Schizosaccharomyces pombe: one gene and its partners. The gene in region 4 interacts genetically with the main gene of each other region. Each region holds a gene or a part of one and is shown on either strand. Other genes may lie near its edges. The genes, in order: ppk8, ftm6, ccq1 and pku80.

Evidence for each region.
Region 1: mutations in pku80 (region 4) and ppk8 together harm fitness less than expected from each alone (positive genetic interaction), as found in Schizosaccharomyces pombe (one large-scale study listed by BioGRID).
Region 2: mutations in pku80 (region 4) and ftm6 together harm fitness more than expected from each alone (negative genetic interaction), as found in Schizosaccharomyces pombe (one large-scale study listed by BioGRID).
Region 3: mutations in pku80 (region 4) and ccq1 together harm fitness more than expected from each alone (negative genetic interaction), as found in Schizosaccharomyces pombe (one large-scale study listed by BioGRID).

What each region holds. Positions count from the first base shown.
Region 1 is NC_003424.3:747,497-752,390, reverse strand, and holds ppk8 (serine/threonine protein kinase Ppk8), read right to left. Parts: upstream 2,910-4,894; 5' UTR 2,462-2,909; coding exon 2,396-2,461; intron 2,279-2,395; coding exon 803-2,278; 3' UTR 719-802; coding exon of another isoform or gene 591-718; 3' UTR 552-590; downstream 1-551. Other genes in the region: nucleoporin Nup45, read left to right, coding at 1-48, 95-203, 260-551, 591-718; ime4 (mRNA (2'-O-methyladenosine-N(6)-)-methyltransferase), read left to right, coding at 3,989-4,894.
Region 2 is NC_003423.3:9,043-11,908, forward strand, and holds ftm6 (transmembrane helix domain-containing protein), read left to right. Parts: upstream 1-1,526; coding exon 1,527-1,967; 3' UTR 1,968-2,309; downstream 2,310-2,866.
Region 3 is NC_003421.2:1,484,124-1,489,178, reverse strand, and holds ccq1 (shelterin complex HEAT repeat subunit Ccq1), read right to left. Parts: upstream 3,040-5,055; 5' UTR 2,877-3,039; coding exon 669-2,876; 3' UTR 501-668; downstream 1-500. Other genes in the region: ubiquitin hydrolase Ubp5, read left to right, coding at 1-245; signal recognition particle subunit Srp54, read left to right, coding at 4,043-4,120, 4,601-5,055. UniProt on the Schizosaccharomyces pombe protein: Component of the meiotic bouquet that facilitates meiotic nuclear reorganization of the telomeres to the centrosome. Links telomeres to the meiotic centrosome component pcp1. Essential for the formation of normal telomere clusters during meiotic prophase.
Region 4 is NC_003423.3:4,302,518-4,307,196, forward strand, and holds pku80 (Ku domain protein Pku80 ), read right to left. Parts: upstream 2,886-4,679; 5' UTR 2,851-2,885; coding exon 2,722-2,850; intron 2,678-2,721; coding exon 2,623-2,677; intron 2,568-2,622; coding exon 2,501-2,567; intron 2,461-2,500; coding exon 624-2,460; 3' UTR 506-623; downstream 1-505. Other genes in the region: SPOM_SPBC543.02C (TPR domain protein, DNAJC7 family), read right to left, coding at 1-98; Npr2/3 complex subunit Npr3, read left to right, coding at 3,512-4,575, 4,641-4,679. UniProt on the Schizosaccharomyces pombe protein: Single-stranded DNA-dependent ATP-dependent helicase. Involved in non-homologous end joining (NHEJ) DNA double strand break repair. DNA-binding is sequence-independent but has a high affinity to nicks in double-stranded DNA and to the ends of duplex DNA.

The DNA of each region.
Region 1 (4,894 bases), on a different chromosome or scaffold from region 4:
ATACTCGAGCTTAAACGCTAATACTCAAAAATTTTTAGATGACTTAGAGTATGTGTTACCTTATGTACAAAATTTGTTCTAATCATGTCCGTAGCAAAGAAATTTTTAGCCAAATCCAACTTGCAGAGGAACTACAAACTAAGTTGGGGACTGTTTCCGAATTGGTTGAATCCGTCCCTAATGATGTCGCTGAAGTACAGAGAGTGAGTTATTTCCTTCTATTATCTCCAAGTTTTATTTGTTTCTAACTAAAATAAAGCGTTTATCTTCTGTCTCGACTGCACTTTTAATTGATTCCGACGAAATTGAAACTACGAAGCGTGTAGTTGACGAAGATACTTCGAATGCTCGCATTAGTTCACGTATTTTGGACGTTTTTAAAACACCTGGCGCAACCTATCCCTTCGCGTCAAACGATCCCCTAATGAACTACTTTGAGCAATTTACAGAAAACGCTAAGAAACGTACAGATCTGTATGCTGCCACTATTGGTGAACTTGAACAACATTTGGAGCAAGTTGAGACTACGCCACAGAATAATAGTCCCGAGGGTATGCCTTTAATTTGTAAAACTTGTATTAACTATCTAGCATTACTGAAAACTATCAAAGAGGAGCACAAATTATTCATGGCTCTTAGTAATAGATTTGCTCAAGTTCACGATGAAGTAAAGCGTCTACAAGTGAACACTTCAACGTCCTTGCCCTTTATAAGTTAATAGCGATCATTAAAGGGACTTCATAATCCTTAACATCATAAAAAAAATAAATAGATAAAAATCTCTAAAGTAGACAAATTCTCCTTAGATTAGAGTTTTCCGAACTTGTTGCATCCATGTAGTGCTTCGTGCTCCCGAAATGCTACATCTTGTATTAAAATCAATGTCCAGCATATGATAAATCGTATCTCTTGAGTTCATCGGTAAAGATTCTATCAATTGGCTTTTCGTGTTAGGGTCATTTCGTTGAGTAACGTATAAATTAAAACGTTTATCCGATGTATGCGGCACTTTCCATGGAAATCTCTTTAAAGCAATACAACAGTAAACAATTGCACAAGACCAAACATCTACAGCGCTCGGATCATATGGTTTCTGAGTAAGAACTTCGGGAGCAACATATGGTTTTGAACCGACTACACCATCAGACATCAGAGTGGTTGATTCAAATGGATAATGAAAAACAAAAGCAGTACCAAAATCAATAATCTTAACATTTAAATTTTCATCGAGCATAATATTATCTAATTTTATATCACGATGAGCAATGCCAAGGGAATGCATATAAGCCACGCCATCTAACAATTGAAAAAACATTTGATCAGCTTTTAAAGCAGAGCAATGACCTTTGGTAATAAAGGTAAAAAGATCATAAGGAACATACTCAATTATTTGTAAAATAGTATGCCTTTTGTATATAATGTCTAATACCTTGATGATATTGGGATGCCTGAGTGTCGACGCAAAAGTGTACTCTGCAATGAAATAACGTACATACCTGCGCAGTAATGAGGTATCTAATGGAGGACGAAATACTTTGGCAACGTAAATTGGCAATTTGTTTCGATCATTAATGACCCGAATGAAAGAGCTCGCTCCCTCCCCAATGACATTATTTAACTTTCCATAAGGTGTATCAGTTACGGAACATTCCGGGTTTACAACTCTCTTTCTTGATCTCGGGTTGATTCTCTTAAAGATGCTAGCATTGCTACCAGTTACTTTGTGTTTCAGCAATTTTCGAAGATCAGAAGTATGATTGTAGCAAGCAATAGGCGCCAGAGCGAAGCCGGAGTTCCGTTTTTTTATAAAATTGTCGTTTCCGTTCGGAAGGATATTAATTCTGATCTTCATCTTATCATACATGCTACTATAAAATGATTTAGACTTCTTTTTAAAGTGAAACTGAGGTGGGATATCGTTTGGATCAGAAGATGGATTTTTTCGATAAAGTCTGCTATATGGATTACCACCATTTATGCCATCATTAAGGGTAGCAAATTTCGATTCTGTGGAAGATGACTCTTCCGACATAGATGTTAAAGTGCTTGATAGTGATGAGTGAGTAGTCGATAATTCCTGTAAGCTATGAGCATGATCGAGAAGGTAATCAGATTTATCGCTCTCTTCACTCTCAATGGAGTTGGTAAATGAAATCACAAAGTTTTCGGGTAAAGTTGTAGATGCCGTTAATAATAAGCTACTTCGAGAATATTTAATGTAGGGGTATGAACGGACGGGCTTTAAGTAATTCGAAATAACTTGATCATCCTGTTTATTCTAATATCATTAGTTAGCGTACACCATATTTGAATATTTAGAAAAATAAGGATTTTTTTCTATTCTTTTTTTTAAAGAAAAAAAGATAACTAAAAAAATTAAAGGCAGAAAACATACCGAGGTTAATTCCAATGAATCTGTGCAAAATAAATTATTAGAGTTCTCTTCCGTGATCACAGCCATTGCTCTAAGAATTGTGATTGTAAAAGCTTCTTTCCAAAAAAAAAGTAAAAAAGATATATTAATGAATTAAGTGATAATTAAGGAGAATAAATAAAACGAATCCAGAAATTAAGTGAAACCGATTATAATGACGGGAAAGAAAATCAAACAAATACCGCTTCCCTGATAATGACTGACAAGAAATAAAATAAACACCGCAAATAAGTAAACAACCAAAAAAATTGTAATCGCGCAATGTCTATGCAATACAAGCAAAATAAAAAAATGTTTAACTAAAACGAAGCGAAACGATTATGCATCCCAATGTCGATCCTGATCGCAAAAAAAATTGGTAACGACAATTCCCAATTTAGTAATGTTTATATAGCAAATCTCACGAGCCGAATAGGTTCATCTAATAAATGTCCGAGGAGATAAACCGGAGTTGGTTCGATGAGGAAATTAATGTGAATAAAATATGGTTCCACGTTTCGATATATATTAACGTCGAAAGCAAATACCGTAGAATGCCGGACTGCGTTGTTTTTTTTAAAAATTCATAAACTCCAATGCCAAAATGTTCTATAGAATCGGCAAACTAAAATTTAAGATCGAATTGAACATAAAAACGAAGCGTATTTATATACTGATTGCAGGTCCTTTGCTTGAATCCTATCAATAAATTGTATGATGCTATCTCGTCAAAAAAGTAATGGCTTTATAATAGTGTGGTTATCATTTTGTGAAAACATTACGCCATTAACTGCTTATTTATTTACGCTCCGATTTTTGCAGATTCCTATCCTAACGATCTTTATGATGCTTGTTATTAAATATATTTAGTCATCACCAGCAATTGCTTACTTGATAGTGGAGACGTTAAGGCGAGATAAGGTAGGTGTGTATTTGTAAGACTAAGCATATCGTTTTCCTTATGTAATTAATATTTCGTACTGGCAGCATATAAATTTGTTACCATTTTGAAGGCTGACTAACCACAAAACATTGGTTTTTGCAAGCTATGAATGCTTTGATTACCTAATTCGTTCAATAGAAAAATTTGTACTTCTTAATAGCTTGGATTTTTTATATCGTTCAATGTTATTGTGGGGAGTATCGAAAATCGCACACCAATGTTTCCGTATTAGTTTGAAAGAACTACGTTAACTAGATTCGGTTTTCGTAAATTAGTTTTAAAAAATATCATTAAATGGAAGTTTTTAAAATATCAATAGAGATTTGTTGTTTCAATATTTGGTATTAAGCATAATAAGTTTAACTGCACTCCAGTTGATGGGTACGACGAAACCTATCGAGTAACTTTCGATAAAGTATACACGTTTGTCACGCGTCGAGAGCGGTATTTTCAATTATTCTTATCCGACTGAATTTAATTAACTCAACTCGCTACTTCTTATTTTGAGTTGAGCGCACATAAGCTATTTTTTGAGCTACTAATTTAATAGATTGCTATAACGAAATTCAGCGGTGTCCTTGTGCATTTCATTTATCACGATTGTTTGAGGTTCGGTATTCGTGTAATTTTTAATGCCATGTATATTATACATGGACGACACTAGTTGTCTCATTGACTTGCCAACATCTCTGCAATTTAATAAACATATTTTGCCCACTCGAACGAAGCCTGTCGTGAAGCCATATTTACTCCCCGAAAAATCAACTTCGGATTATGAAAACAGTGGCAAAGGCACTGTAGGGCAAGTACTGCAAAGCCTTCAGCGAGTTCGTCGTGCTTTACAGTTGCGCAGTTTGGATGACAATCAATCAACCGATAAATCACACCATGTTCAATTTCAAGATATCGTATACAGGTCAAATACTAGTGCATCAGAAATCCATTTTCAAGCTGAAAATGCTCCTTTAGTGCAATGGTACTCAGACATTTTCAAAGTACTAGTTAAAGCACCGGTTATACAGTTTGAGGATCAGTGCTTGCAATGGTTGAAAATGTTGAATACTATTCCACCGTCATATTCATTTATAACTATAAAGTCTAAAGATACAGTTGAACTTGGATTGGAAGAGATTTATCAACAATGTGTCCAAAATGATGGAGCGTCCGCTATAAAATTAAAGCTGAAGGGATCAAAGGTTATTACTGAATCGTCTGAAACTAATTGTAGGGATTCAATTTACTACATCCCTGCTCGTTCCTCTTTTATTATGGGTGACGTGGAGAAAACTGCGCAAATCCTTTTAGAAGCAATTGATGGCCATCTAGAAAAACCCAAATGCATAATTATAGACCCTCCATGGCCGAATAAATCTGTAGCTAGGAGCTCTGTCTATAAGGTGAACAGGAACCTTGGATATTTAAAAGCATTACCAATTCAGGAATCGTTAAGCAAAACCGGCGTCGTGGCAGTTTGGTGCACAAATAAGGAAAAGTATGTAAATTTTGTTAAAAAAGTGCTTTTTAAAAAATGGAATTTA
Region 2 (2,866 bases), 4.3 Mb from region 4:
TTAAAGGGGTTACCGGGATTATTTTATTTATTATTTGTTTATCAATGGATTAATATCCAGTTATTTTAATCTCACTTTTTTACACAGAAATTGTGTAGTAAGTTCATTCTTATTTAATATACCACCTATTTATTTTTTACAAATGAATATTTTTTTACTGGAACGTTTTAAATACACATAACCTTTGAGTCGATGTGAAATAATGTTTTGTTCAAACTTAAAAGTTGCGAATCTGACATATAGACAAAAAAAAAATAAAAAGAAAAAACTGGTTACCTTCATAAACATATTTTGCTAATTTATTGAATTTAATTATTTTCAACTTGCTTTCCCATTTTCCCAACAATTTTTTTATCTATAATATATATTTTACAAAATTAATATAGTACATCGCATGGTTTTCTTTAAAACGACATAAACGTATAATAATAAACGGGGATTCAAAGTAATAAATCGAATCCAAATCAACTTTCAAATACATCCATTTCATCTACTTTACCCTTATATTCCCCTTCATATCCCCAACAAAAAACAGGAATTTGCGAAAGTAGTAAATGGTAAAAGTGAATAAATAGAATCAAGGTTAAAAGCTTACTTGTATGCATAAGAAGATAACTCCCTCCTCTTTACTTTTGCTTAAAAACAGATTCTGAGATTCGGGACTAGCATCGGTAATATAAGTTTTTCTTTCATACTGTTGAGTACTAGCATCAGAACCCTTAATGGTAGGAAGATCATCATCATGACTACGCCTTTGTTCAATCGAGTAAACATTTGCTGGTTCGTGCCAGTCACACTGAGAACAACAAAGTACCTATTATTAAAAATGTTAGCAAGCGATCGCTAACAAGTTGAAAAGTAAACACCTCCAACTATTCCATGGAAAGCATGTAACAATGAAGATCAATGAATGGCTATTAGCTTAACAAACTTGTAAACTCAAAACAGACTAACAACGTTTGTCAGGCACTAAGAGCAATAATGGAACAGACTTCATATCAAACGCTTTCTTGAATGTTCTTACCTTATTCGTATAAACCGGAAGAACAGGCACAATGAGAACCGTTACGGTTTTCAACTGACGACATACTCGGACTAAAAACAAAATGTTATGTTAACATTAATAAGACAAGTTTAAAAAAAAAAAGAAAGAGCCAATTGCTTTCGAAACTACTCAACTTGTTTATTTCTCGTACCAGTCTTCTTTGAACTAAAAAAAAAAAAAAAGCATTAGCAAAATGTGTTGTCAAACGGATAAAAAGAGAACAGGAAGAAGATTGCTGGAAACAATTTTAAAACAGCGAATAAAAAAAAAAGAAAAAATAATAATAATAATAAACAAAATACGAGTCGCTAATTTTTGAAACTAATCGCTTCCAACAACTGTTTCATTATAACTTCACCATTTTAATATTGTCCCCAAACAGCATGATTTAATTCTCTTTCACTAATTTCATACCACACAGGACACGTAAGTAAAACATCCTTATAATCGTCAGTGGATATCCACATATCTCGTAAATGTAATGGCATTGTTAAAAAAAATAAACACTCAAGTGAATAGAATTATGAAGAATTCGAGTCTAGTTCAAAATATTTGTTTTGACAGAGTCCCTCTATTTATACCAAGACTAAGCCTCACAGTGAAATATTGTCTAGCAGTAAAATTGCTGATTTATTTATTATATTGTTGGTACATTTACTCGGAAGTACCATCGGCTTCATCTAAATTCCGATCCTTTACATTTGGATGCGTCGTAGTATATCATAACAAATTTTTTCCTCGTTTCATTAGAACTCACTCCATTAACTCCATTAGAACGTTTTCTAAATTTCAAGTCATTATACTTTTCTCTATTGAGAAAGTCACTAGGTCAGAAAGCAAGAATCATTCTTACTCGAAAACCGATATTAGTGATCTGCACCAGGGCTATAATAATCCACCATCAAGATTCATATCACAATAACAATTCCATAGTATCTTGCTATATACGTGTAATGAGTATTCGATACTGGCTTGATTGCTATTTCTCCTTTGCTTGTAATCGTAAAATTGACTTGAAGATCTAAACCTTCTAATGCAATCATTGGAATTCTGCCTAACCTGATCAAATATGGCTTGATCACCGTTAAGTTAAAAGCAGAAGCTATGCCAATCAGTATGATTGTAACTTACAAAAAAATATAGCACAACGACATACAACATTATGGTACAATAAAGAAGACTTGATATATCAAGAACGAGGTTCAGTTTGTGCTCCGTTTATATTATTGTATTTCTATATATGACATTACTTGATGCAACCGCTTAAATATGTACTTTTGTGTAGTTATACTCGCAAGTACAGTAGCATTTTTAAAGTAGCGGTGATGTTGACGAATGGTTTGTTTCAAATCCATCCATTTCAATTTCAATTGTAAATTTCTCTTTTTCAATTATTAATCAAGTAAGTTGAAGTGTATCAGCACAATAAATTCTGACTATTACTACTCTTAAAATAAAACTCAAGCGAAACTAATTTTTAATAGCAAGTCATATTCTTAGTTTGATATGCTATCCGCTTTGGTTTTGCATTGTTATGACTTTGTATAACCTAATAAGGTGACGAAAAATCAGTTCGTTTATATTTTTGATGAGAAGAATTCACTATTATTACACAGAAAAACATTTACTTCTTATTAGATACCTTCAATATAATATATTTTTTAAATGTAATAGCGACGACACTACCCATAATTTACAATACATTGTATGGTAAACAACTGAGTAGTTGATACACCCGATTTTCATTGAGTCATACACTTTGCGCTTACTATCACTTTATTTGATTAAATGCATAATTTACAAGCCATTCCAATATTTCGC
Region 3 (5,055 bases), on a different chromosome or scaffold from region 4:
CCCAGGAAAAATTCATCGATACAAAACTACGTCTTGCAGCTCGCACACAGTATCCAGAAAGCATTTTCAGCGTTATTAAATTCTGTGTGGTGGATTTTGATAACAATAGAGTTGTCTATTTGAATGATGAAGACATTACATATGATGTTGTTGAAAAACTAAACGGTACATTGGCTTTGGATCGTGCTAAGAAAGATAGTAAGAAGCCGAATATACTCGACCGTGCTATTCAGATGAAAAATTAGTATTTAAAGGCTTTACAATCCTTGCTGGTTGTTTGGTCCTTACCTGTTGAGCATAAGGTGCATGAAGTTTTATACAGGTTCGATATTGCGAGCATAACAAAATGATATGAAGCATAAAAAATTATTTCATCAATGTTGATATTGCATCTTTTGAGGATGCATATTCGAATTTGATACAATTAAAATCTTTCAAAAACAAATTCAAAATTAATGACATAGATCATTGAATCTAGTATGTAACGAAATGTCTAACTTCTTGATGAATATATGAAGAAAACCAATATATTTTTGCAACTGTTGAAAAATTAATACAATTAAAATTGTTTCATTAAAAGCTGATTACGACATAATTTAATCAAATAACCGTATGACTAAACGAACTTTTTATAGTTGATTCCACTGAAGTTCTTGATCGTTAATGATTTAGTTAGAATCAATAATCCTTGGTGATTGATTATGTGGAGTAAATTTGGGAAGAGACTTCTGCTCTAAAATTTTTAAGGTCTCCTCCAGAGAAGAGACCTTAGCGAGTAATGCTTCTACCCTTGAATCATTATAAACTTTTACCTCTTCCATAACTTTAGAATTTATAGCTTGTAAGCGCTTACATTCAGCTTGAAGTTTCGCAACCTCTTTGCTTTGCTCAGCAGCAAAAGTAGATGCATTTTGATATTGATTAGTAATGAAATCAGCGTCTTCTTTCTGTGTTTTTAACAGTTGAGTAAGTTTGTAATTTTTTTCGTTGGCTTCAATTAATTTGCCTTGTAGATCTTCATTCGAAAATTCTTGTACATATTTAAAGCCAAATTCTTGTTGCTTAGCTAAGTGGGTAAGCTCTTTTTTAAGGTTTGCGATTTCTTCAACCTTCTCAACTTCTAGCTTTGAAAGGTCTTCATTCTTTTTCTTCGATTTCTCCAAATCCAGCTTGAGCTCTCGAACAGTGTTTCTGTATTCTTGTAAATTATCCGTCAGCTTAGAAATTTGCTGCTCCAACTCCTCTGAGCGACTTTGTTGTACGTTTTTGGAATTAATGGCTTCGTGTAATTCATCTTCTACCATTCTTAAACGACGCTGCAGGTATTGGACAGCTGCACCTTGGAGATCATAATTATTGGAAAGTTCTACCTCATCAGCTTCCTGTTGAGAAAAAAAGTTTTTCTTTAGTGAGCTTGATGACAGTAAATCGGTGGCATTACTTGTTAAAGAGTGGAGTTTGGAAGGTGATTGCATGCTTTGCGACGAAGGAAATGTACTATCAGATGATTTGACAAAAGTATCGTTCACCTGAGAAACAGAAGGCTGAGAATCCCTTGGTTCTGCAACCGATAAGCTTGCTAAATCCATTAGAGGAGGTAGTGGCCAAGAAGAGAAGTTTTCTCCATTTTTTAACCAGGTCGCAACATTTTTAGCAATATCTCGAGTTTTTTCTGTAATAGAAGAGTGAGATTCTGAGCCTAGGATTTCCTCAAAGTTCCCAGATTTCTCAAACAAAGTGCTCAAATTTGAAGCTTCTGAATTTTCCTCGGAAGAAGAACTAAGAGTGGCAACCACACCCACAATGTTCACTAAAAATGAGGCATTGTAAGATGATTGAAAACATTTTATGGCATGTTCTATAGATCCCAAGTGAATGAGCCTAAGGACAAGGCTTTGAATAGAGGGCAAGGAACTAGTGACACTCATGTATGCTTCGATATCATAAAAAATGGTTGCACTCAAATCTGGGCAAGATTGAAGAAAATGAGAAGCGGAGGGAGCCTTTTTGGACACACAAATCCAAATTGCTGGATGTTGGCTAGTCTTTGCATCCTCTTCAGCCCATAACTCAGCATCAATGTTTTGAGATTTTAGCCATTGAGTAAGTGTGTTTGCAAGAAATTGGTTGGAGATAAATAAAAAAAATGTCTTAGAATAAGAGGGGGAAAGATTTTTGAATAATTCTTGCAAAAAAAGAAATTTTGAAGAATTTTCGGCATATGAAGAGAAATTAGAAGCATCTAAAGAAACGTGGGAATTAGTGGATTCAGCAGCGGAGGGATTTCGAACTTCAGTATCATACAGACTAGGATGCTTTGCAATGTTATGAGCAGATTGAATAAAAAGACGTATTTTTTCTTGGATTCTTGAATCGCTAGGACCAGTACAAAAATGGTCAATACAAAAGGCAAAGTATTGAACCAACCGATGCATCATTTTCCTTTGAAGCGCAGACATTGGAAGGCCAATATCTAGCACGCTGAACGAGGATTTAGAAGATTTAGTAATAGATTCTTCCGAAGAATCAAAGGCAGTGTCATTTTGCAAAGGAATAGGAAATAACTGCTGGGTAGAAGGGAATTCATCGACCTCTTGAGTTAAAAAGTCATTTTCAGAGTGATCCAAATCAGTCCGTAAAAATTTTTCTATCTCTCTTTGTTTGGATGCAGGTTCTTCATTACGCATGCAACTTAGAGGCTCTTCCAATTTTCTCTTATGGCCTGCTAATTTTAGAAGCCATACATCTTCCAACGGGCTAGGGCAATCCTCTTTGGCAATCCATCTATTACTGGAATTCACCTCAGAGTAAACCTCGTATTTCGTATCACTTTCATTGATAATAATTGAATTCGTAAAGTCGTTAATTTCGCTCATACTGCCATCCACGTTAAAATTCAACAAGAAATTGAATGTTTAAATATTGCAACACGAGACCAATTTAGCGTCCGAAAAGAAATAATTTTCGCACGTTTAGAGGAATTAGATGGTCTAAAAAGAGTCTTTTATTATCGTTTTTACAAATAACCACCCAAATGTTGTTCCCAGAATTCCGTGTTCGCCTTTAAATTTGTACATATTTTTACGAAATACACTGTGTAGCGGAAAATGTTTACAGCATTTAAAAGAGCTCTAATTACTTTTTTTCATATAACAAATCTTTATTTTAATAAAGTAACGCGTCACCTCTCTATTTAAGTCTATTATGTAAACAAATATAACTATTCACCCATAACGCGTAGTAAATGTTATTTCTTTTTCAAATTTTGTGTTAAGGGGTTAACGATTCTTTATCTTTAGTCTTATATTGAAAAAACAGCTAATTGCAATTCATTCTGGCTCTTATAAGGACTTGGAAGTGCTTTCCTTCGTGAAGTTTGGAAAAACTGGATCTTAAGACTAATTGCTGGATTAACGCACGAAAAATTCCAAAAAAGTTTAAGGTGAATAAGAACATACGCCTGAAAAATATATAAAAAGTTTCAAATATCAATCTTTTAGATCTTTTTCTATTAGCGTCTTAAAACACAAACTACAGCAAGTATGAATCAAAAGATTGTGGGACAAAGTTAGCCACCACGGAATTTACGATTCGTGTTTCTATTACAAATGTGAGAAAGAGAAGCATCAATAATTGTCAGGACCTAGTCAAACACTTTTACACATGAGTATAATCTTAATAAGTATTTTATTTTTTAAGATTATACCTACTGAACTTTTGCTATAGATTAATTCTAAAATATTATACAAACAAGGTATTATATAGGAATGCTGTGCTGCGCTATCCTGTCGATATATCACCTATACTGAAAACAATAAAAAGCTTGCAGGCGAAATAACTCGGTATTAAACTCAGTGAAAATATTTTTTAAAAAGATAATATCAAACTCTTCTTTACTTCATCTTTAGGCATTTATCATATTGCCTCAATTGTCTATTGACTTTTCGCTTGAAGACACTGCATGTCCTTAACGACTTCATCCTCTACCAACCACATTTGACGAACTTCAAATTGCCTGGTTGGAAGTTTTTAATCTGACAAAATGGTTTTTGCAGATTTAGGGCGTCGTTTGAACTCTGCGTTAGGGGACTTTTCTAAGGCCACTTCAGTGAATGAAGAGGTATGTTTTATTCTATCGAAAATTTGTTCTCATACGGAGAGTGAGCCATGTCATTTATAAAAATATTTAATACATCTTTGCTTGATTTCTTCAAAAATTTTGCATTTGCCATGTTTTACACGCTGTATATGAACATCGTTTCATGCTTTACGAAATTTGTCGATAAGAAAAATCATCTACCACAGATATGCTTTTCTAGTTGCGTAGCTGGTTTATCCAATCTCTTATATATATATATCTTGATTGCATATTGGGATTATCTTCGTTTACATCGACGTTACCTTGACATGAAAATTTAAAACCCTTTTTAATAATGCAATGTTAGATTTTGGTTTCAAGTTACTAAAAGGGTTTACTTACCAAGCAACTTTTAGGCAGCTGAAGATTTTTTTAATGACCTCTAGTTTGTTTTCCCAATGTTCTGTTTTGATTAGGATATCTATCGTTTTAATACGAACCTTTACTAATAATTTTATTTAGCTTGTCGATACTCTGCTGAAAAATATATGTACGGCACTTTTGGAAACAGATGTTAATGTGCGATTGGTTCAAGAATTACGTTCAAATATTAAGAAAAAAATCAATGTATCAACTTTGCCTCAGGGTATAAATGGGAAGCGAATCGTCCAGAAGGCTGTCTTTGATGAACTTTGCAGTTTGGTTGACCCTAAAGTTGATGCTTTTACTCCTAAAAAAGGGAGACCTTCAGTGATCATGATGGTAGGTTTACAAGGCAGTGGTAAAACGACAACATGCTCAAAGCTTGCTCTGCACTACCAAAGGAGAGGTTTGAAATCGTGTTTGGTTGCTGCCGATACTTTCCGTGCTGGTGCTTTTGATCAATTAAAGCAGAATGCTATCAAAGCACGTGTTCCTTACTTTGGTAGTTACACCGAGACTGACCCAGTCGTTATTGCCAAGGAAGGTGTTGATAA
Region 4 (4,679 bases):
AAAGCGTTTCCTATAGCCTTTTGCTTTTCAGCTAGCTCAGCAGGCTCTTGTTGGCTCTCTGTACCTGCATTCATGTGTGTGGTTTCGACTTCAGTCATTTTGATCGAATTAATTTAAATATTTAAAAAATTTAAATTTTATTTAAAATGACAGAAAGTTCAGGAACGCTTTCCAATCGCCGAAGCGTAACAGATCAAAAAGTCAGTGGTAGGTAAATAGATACGACCAAACTATTAAATTTTAGTATCACTAATAAGGAACACTGCTGTAGCTCCTTAAGCATGTCCCCGATATTTGTCCAATTCGTGAAAGTAAGTCTAAAATGTTCTTTGAATAATGTAATTGTGAAAGATAGAATATAAATAAAAAAATGCAAGGAACTCTCACCAAGTTTTTAAACGATAGTTGTGTTTTCTGAAATATCATAGGTATGTTTACCTAAACTACTTAAGTTAAAACTATTTTCTATTTTTGCGACCGTGTATTCTATATGCTAATAAATAGCGGATTCATGACTTAAAAATTTTTATTAGAAATTTGGATAAAAGTAAAAAAAATATTGCAAGTATTTAATAAAATTTATTTATTTATGTTCGAGTAAGACAAGTCATTGTTGTCCTATGCTAAATGTTATTAAAATTATCATGTCTAGTCAATTCATCATGGAGAATAATATCTAATCCAGATGATCTTATTTTGTTAATAAGCTCATTCTCCTTGGGTTTGTTATTTTGCATTACGTCCTTTTTCAATCGAGTAAGATACTCATTAAATCTTTCAACTTCGTCTTCCAAAATTGAGTGTAACCTGAGAGATTGCAATGACTGCAAAGCAAGATCGTACTTAGACTTGTCAATAAGATTTTTAATTACTTTTTCCATTTCTGTCAAAGCATCCTCTAGTCCAAAAGGGTTTTTCAAAACTTCAGTGAAAGTGCCTACTGGGTCTTTTTCACTAACGTGAAGGACTAATAATTTTTCTCCTTCCTGTTCATCGAGACCAGAATTTAGTAGTTCTTCTATTTGTTCCTCTGATATTGGGGCGCCTGTGTCGAAGGCTGTTTCTTGAGAAGAATATTTTGGTTTGACGGGGACGTTCACTGTAAGTTTTTCCTTAATCAACTTCAAGTCCAAAATGCAATTATCAAGTAAACTTTTTGGAGGATTGGTGTAACGTGTTAAGTAAATATTTGGTTGAGGAAGATCGCCTTCTGGTGAATTTGCATAATAACTGATAGCTTGTTGAAGTCTATGTGGTATCATACTAAAGGTATTTTCGGGCTCAAAAGGAGGATTGAACCCACAATCAGAGGAATCTAAATCCATATTATCGATATAATTACTTACGGCAAAATCAATTTGTCGCATATCCTCTTCATTTGACAGTTTCTCGAACTCTGAGAAAGAATAAGGCCGAACATCTTCAGCGAATGGAAGTTGTATATCAACCAAGTAATGTCTTTTAAACTCCACGTAAGGCATCAAGACCAGCAAAACTGGTACGCCCTTATCTTTAGAAACAAACCTTGCGAGCGCATATCGGTGTTCACGTTCAAGGGATTGAACAAAGGCAGAAAAATTTAATTTGCTTTCGAAGTCATCTTTTGGAACGATTATATTAGTATCACTAATGGTATAATAAATTGGAAGACTAGATTTAGGAATAAATCCAAGGATTTCATAACCGGGTATTGTATCTAAAGCCAATACGTCTTCATCTGATCGGCTGATCGGGACGATTGTCCTACCATAACTATAACCGCTTTCCAAGTCTTCTCTTTTAACCTCAAAAGAATCGTTTGTTTTTGGATCACGAACCATGTACGATCGAACAGTAGACACTGCATCAGATTCCATACTTTTGTTTTCCACATTTGAATTTTCGATATTAAGACATTCATAATTTTTAGACATATCGTTTTCATAAAAAGCAGATGATGTTGGCGGTTTAGTTAAACGAGTTCTAGGATATCTTTCAACCTGTATGCTTATAGACGTATCTTTGCTGTCTCTATTACCAATACTAAATGTACCTCTAAAGATTGCGACAGGTCTCACTTTACGAACCCAAGGTTTACCGATGTTGTTATAAATCTGTTGAAATGTGCAGTACTGACCATGACAACTCTCAACAAACTCTTGAATTCGAACTTCGTTTTCCTTTTTCTGAGATTCCTTTAAAGGCTCAGAATAATTAATATCTTCTTGATCAAAATCAACTCCATAAACACCTAGAAAAACATCATGCTGCAGTAGTTGTTCGGCAATTCCAATGTAATCACTAAAGTCGATAATCCCCCTAGCTGCCGTAAGCACTATCATCTTCTTCTTCCATTTGTTCTTTTTACAATGCCGAGCCATCAAATCAAAGGACACAACTATTGCAGATATCAGATCGCCTTGCATAGTATTGCTTGGTTTTAACGTTTGAGAAACGGATTGTAGCTTTGAAAATAAGGCACTAGTTAAGAAGTTAATGGAGCATTTAAGAGAAAGCTTACGTTTGTATAGGATACAAAACACTGATATTCCAATAGGCTTCCTGCTCAGCTAAATCATTTTTCGTATCTAAACACCGTAAAAGTTAGAAGTAGTGTACCTTTAAAACATTACAATAGAATACCATCGCATTTGTAACCAACGATTCCAACTACGTCTGTCTTCCTATTTGCTAAAAACTGAGTATGTGTCAATAGGGTGTCGATAATGTTGAGCAAAATACCTTATGAGACAATTCGTCGTGAAAATACGACAAAGTCCATTCGAGATCAGAATGAGACCTGCCATGGTGACAGGTCCCCATATCTTTGCCCAAGTCAAGTACAAAAACAGTACATTCCTTATCACTCATACGAATTGTTAAGGAATACAGATTTGGTGGAGGTCAAAGCAAGGTGAGATTTGTTGTAGAACATTGGGGCCTCCGATGCTTTCAACAGTTAGATATCAATTACACGGTCATTTTAAATGATTCAGGTATTTTCTTCGCGGTATGAATATACTACATTAACAGTAAGTCCAGCAGCATATGTGCAAATGCACATGTGACTGAAATGTAAATAACCCAAAACATTGTATATAAATTAGTCAATTCATTTTTATAACTTAAATCAGAAACTCTTGAGAATTGAATTGGAGCTATTAAAGTTGCTAAGGTTTTACGCACATTAGAAATTTTGCATAGCGATGCTTTTACTTTCAATTCACACATTAATTTACAAAGCCGTGAACTCATATCTCAAGATGTCAATAATTAGTTAACATTCAGTTTAACTATTCATGTTAGATCTTATTAGTTTTGTACTAGGCGATTAAAACACCGAGCTGCCAGATGCATATCGCTCACAAATCTTTCGTACTACACGCAAATTACCAGAAAACGATACCACCCCCTTGAGGTATAATGTTTAAGGTGATATTTGGTTTTCTGTTGTGAAAAATATATTAAAAAACACACATATGTACTTCAATTATCGAACATACACATTTATACTTTGTTTTAAAACGCCAAAATGGTACGCTTAACTCCTCGATTAGTAGCCATTTTCCTTGTTGAAAAAACAACATCAGGAGCTAATTTCGTCTTTCACTGGCCGCTACAACCTCAAGTACGTCTACAAGCCACTCATCATAATAATGATTCAGCGGAGTCTGCAATCGGGATGCTCGACCTTGATGACAGCGATGATGATGAGAATAATAGGTTTACTGAAGTAGCTGACGATACACATGTACTTGGTTATGAAAAAGGCTTTCTCGCAAATATGCTAAGTCCTCGTATTGAACTTTGCAATCAAAAATTTGAAATTTGGGTGGATGGTCTTACTTTTTTGGGATGTCCTGTTCATATTGGTCCGAACGGTGAGTGGGCTAAACGAAGGAAACCACGAACTACTGTTGAGTCTAATGCTTCTTCGAGCCATTTGGTATCAAAGCCCGAATCTTCACACCCTTCGACAGGAAGTTTTGAAGTAAAATCATCTTCATCAAAATCGAGATCTTCAATGTCTTTATTTCATGTCGTCTTTGTATTAAATGTGCCTACAGCTACCGTATATCGCCCTACTGTAAACACGATGTATGATCATATAGTAGTCAAGTTAGTTACTGGACTTAAATATGAACAAGCAAAACGGAATTATGTTGAAAATGAGTGTATACACATCTTAAAACTGACTGAAAAATATTCAAGCCAAAACGTCCCATTCGATGTGTATGCCGCTCAAATCCCTCATCACTCAAATCTTGCTTCGGTTCTTGCTACTACATATGAGGCTTTAATTAACATGCATACGGCTTATTTAGAGATAAATCAATCGATTAACTTAAGCTTACTCTGGCCTATGTCGGTTTCCACCAACACACTTGAAAATTACGAACTGCAGGTTAGACCATCAACTATTTTAGCATCTCAAACCATCTTCTCTGAAGAACATCCTTCCTCTATTGAACCTTTCGTTGCCCCCTATTGGACTTTGTTGCTCTTAAAGGATACAGACACTATAATGAAACGTGTTCCTCTTTTACAAAATTCTCTTCTTTCTTCTTTCATTGCCATAGTAAAACCTAACTTAACGTAAGTTTTGTCAAGTCTAAACAAAATTTATTATTGCTATTAAATACTAACTTACAATATTTCAGGTTCACAGATATCGCTAATCGTCTAGGAATATCAGTATC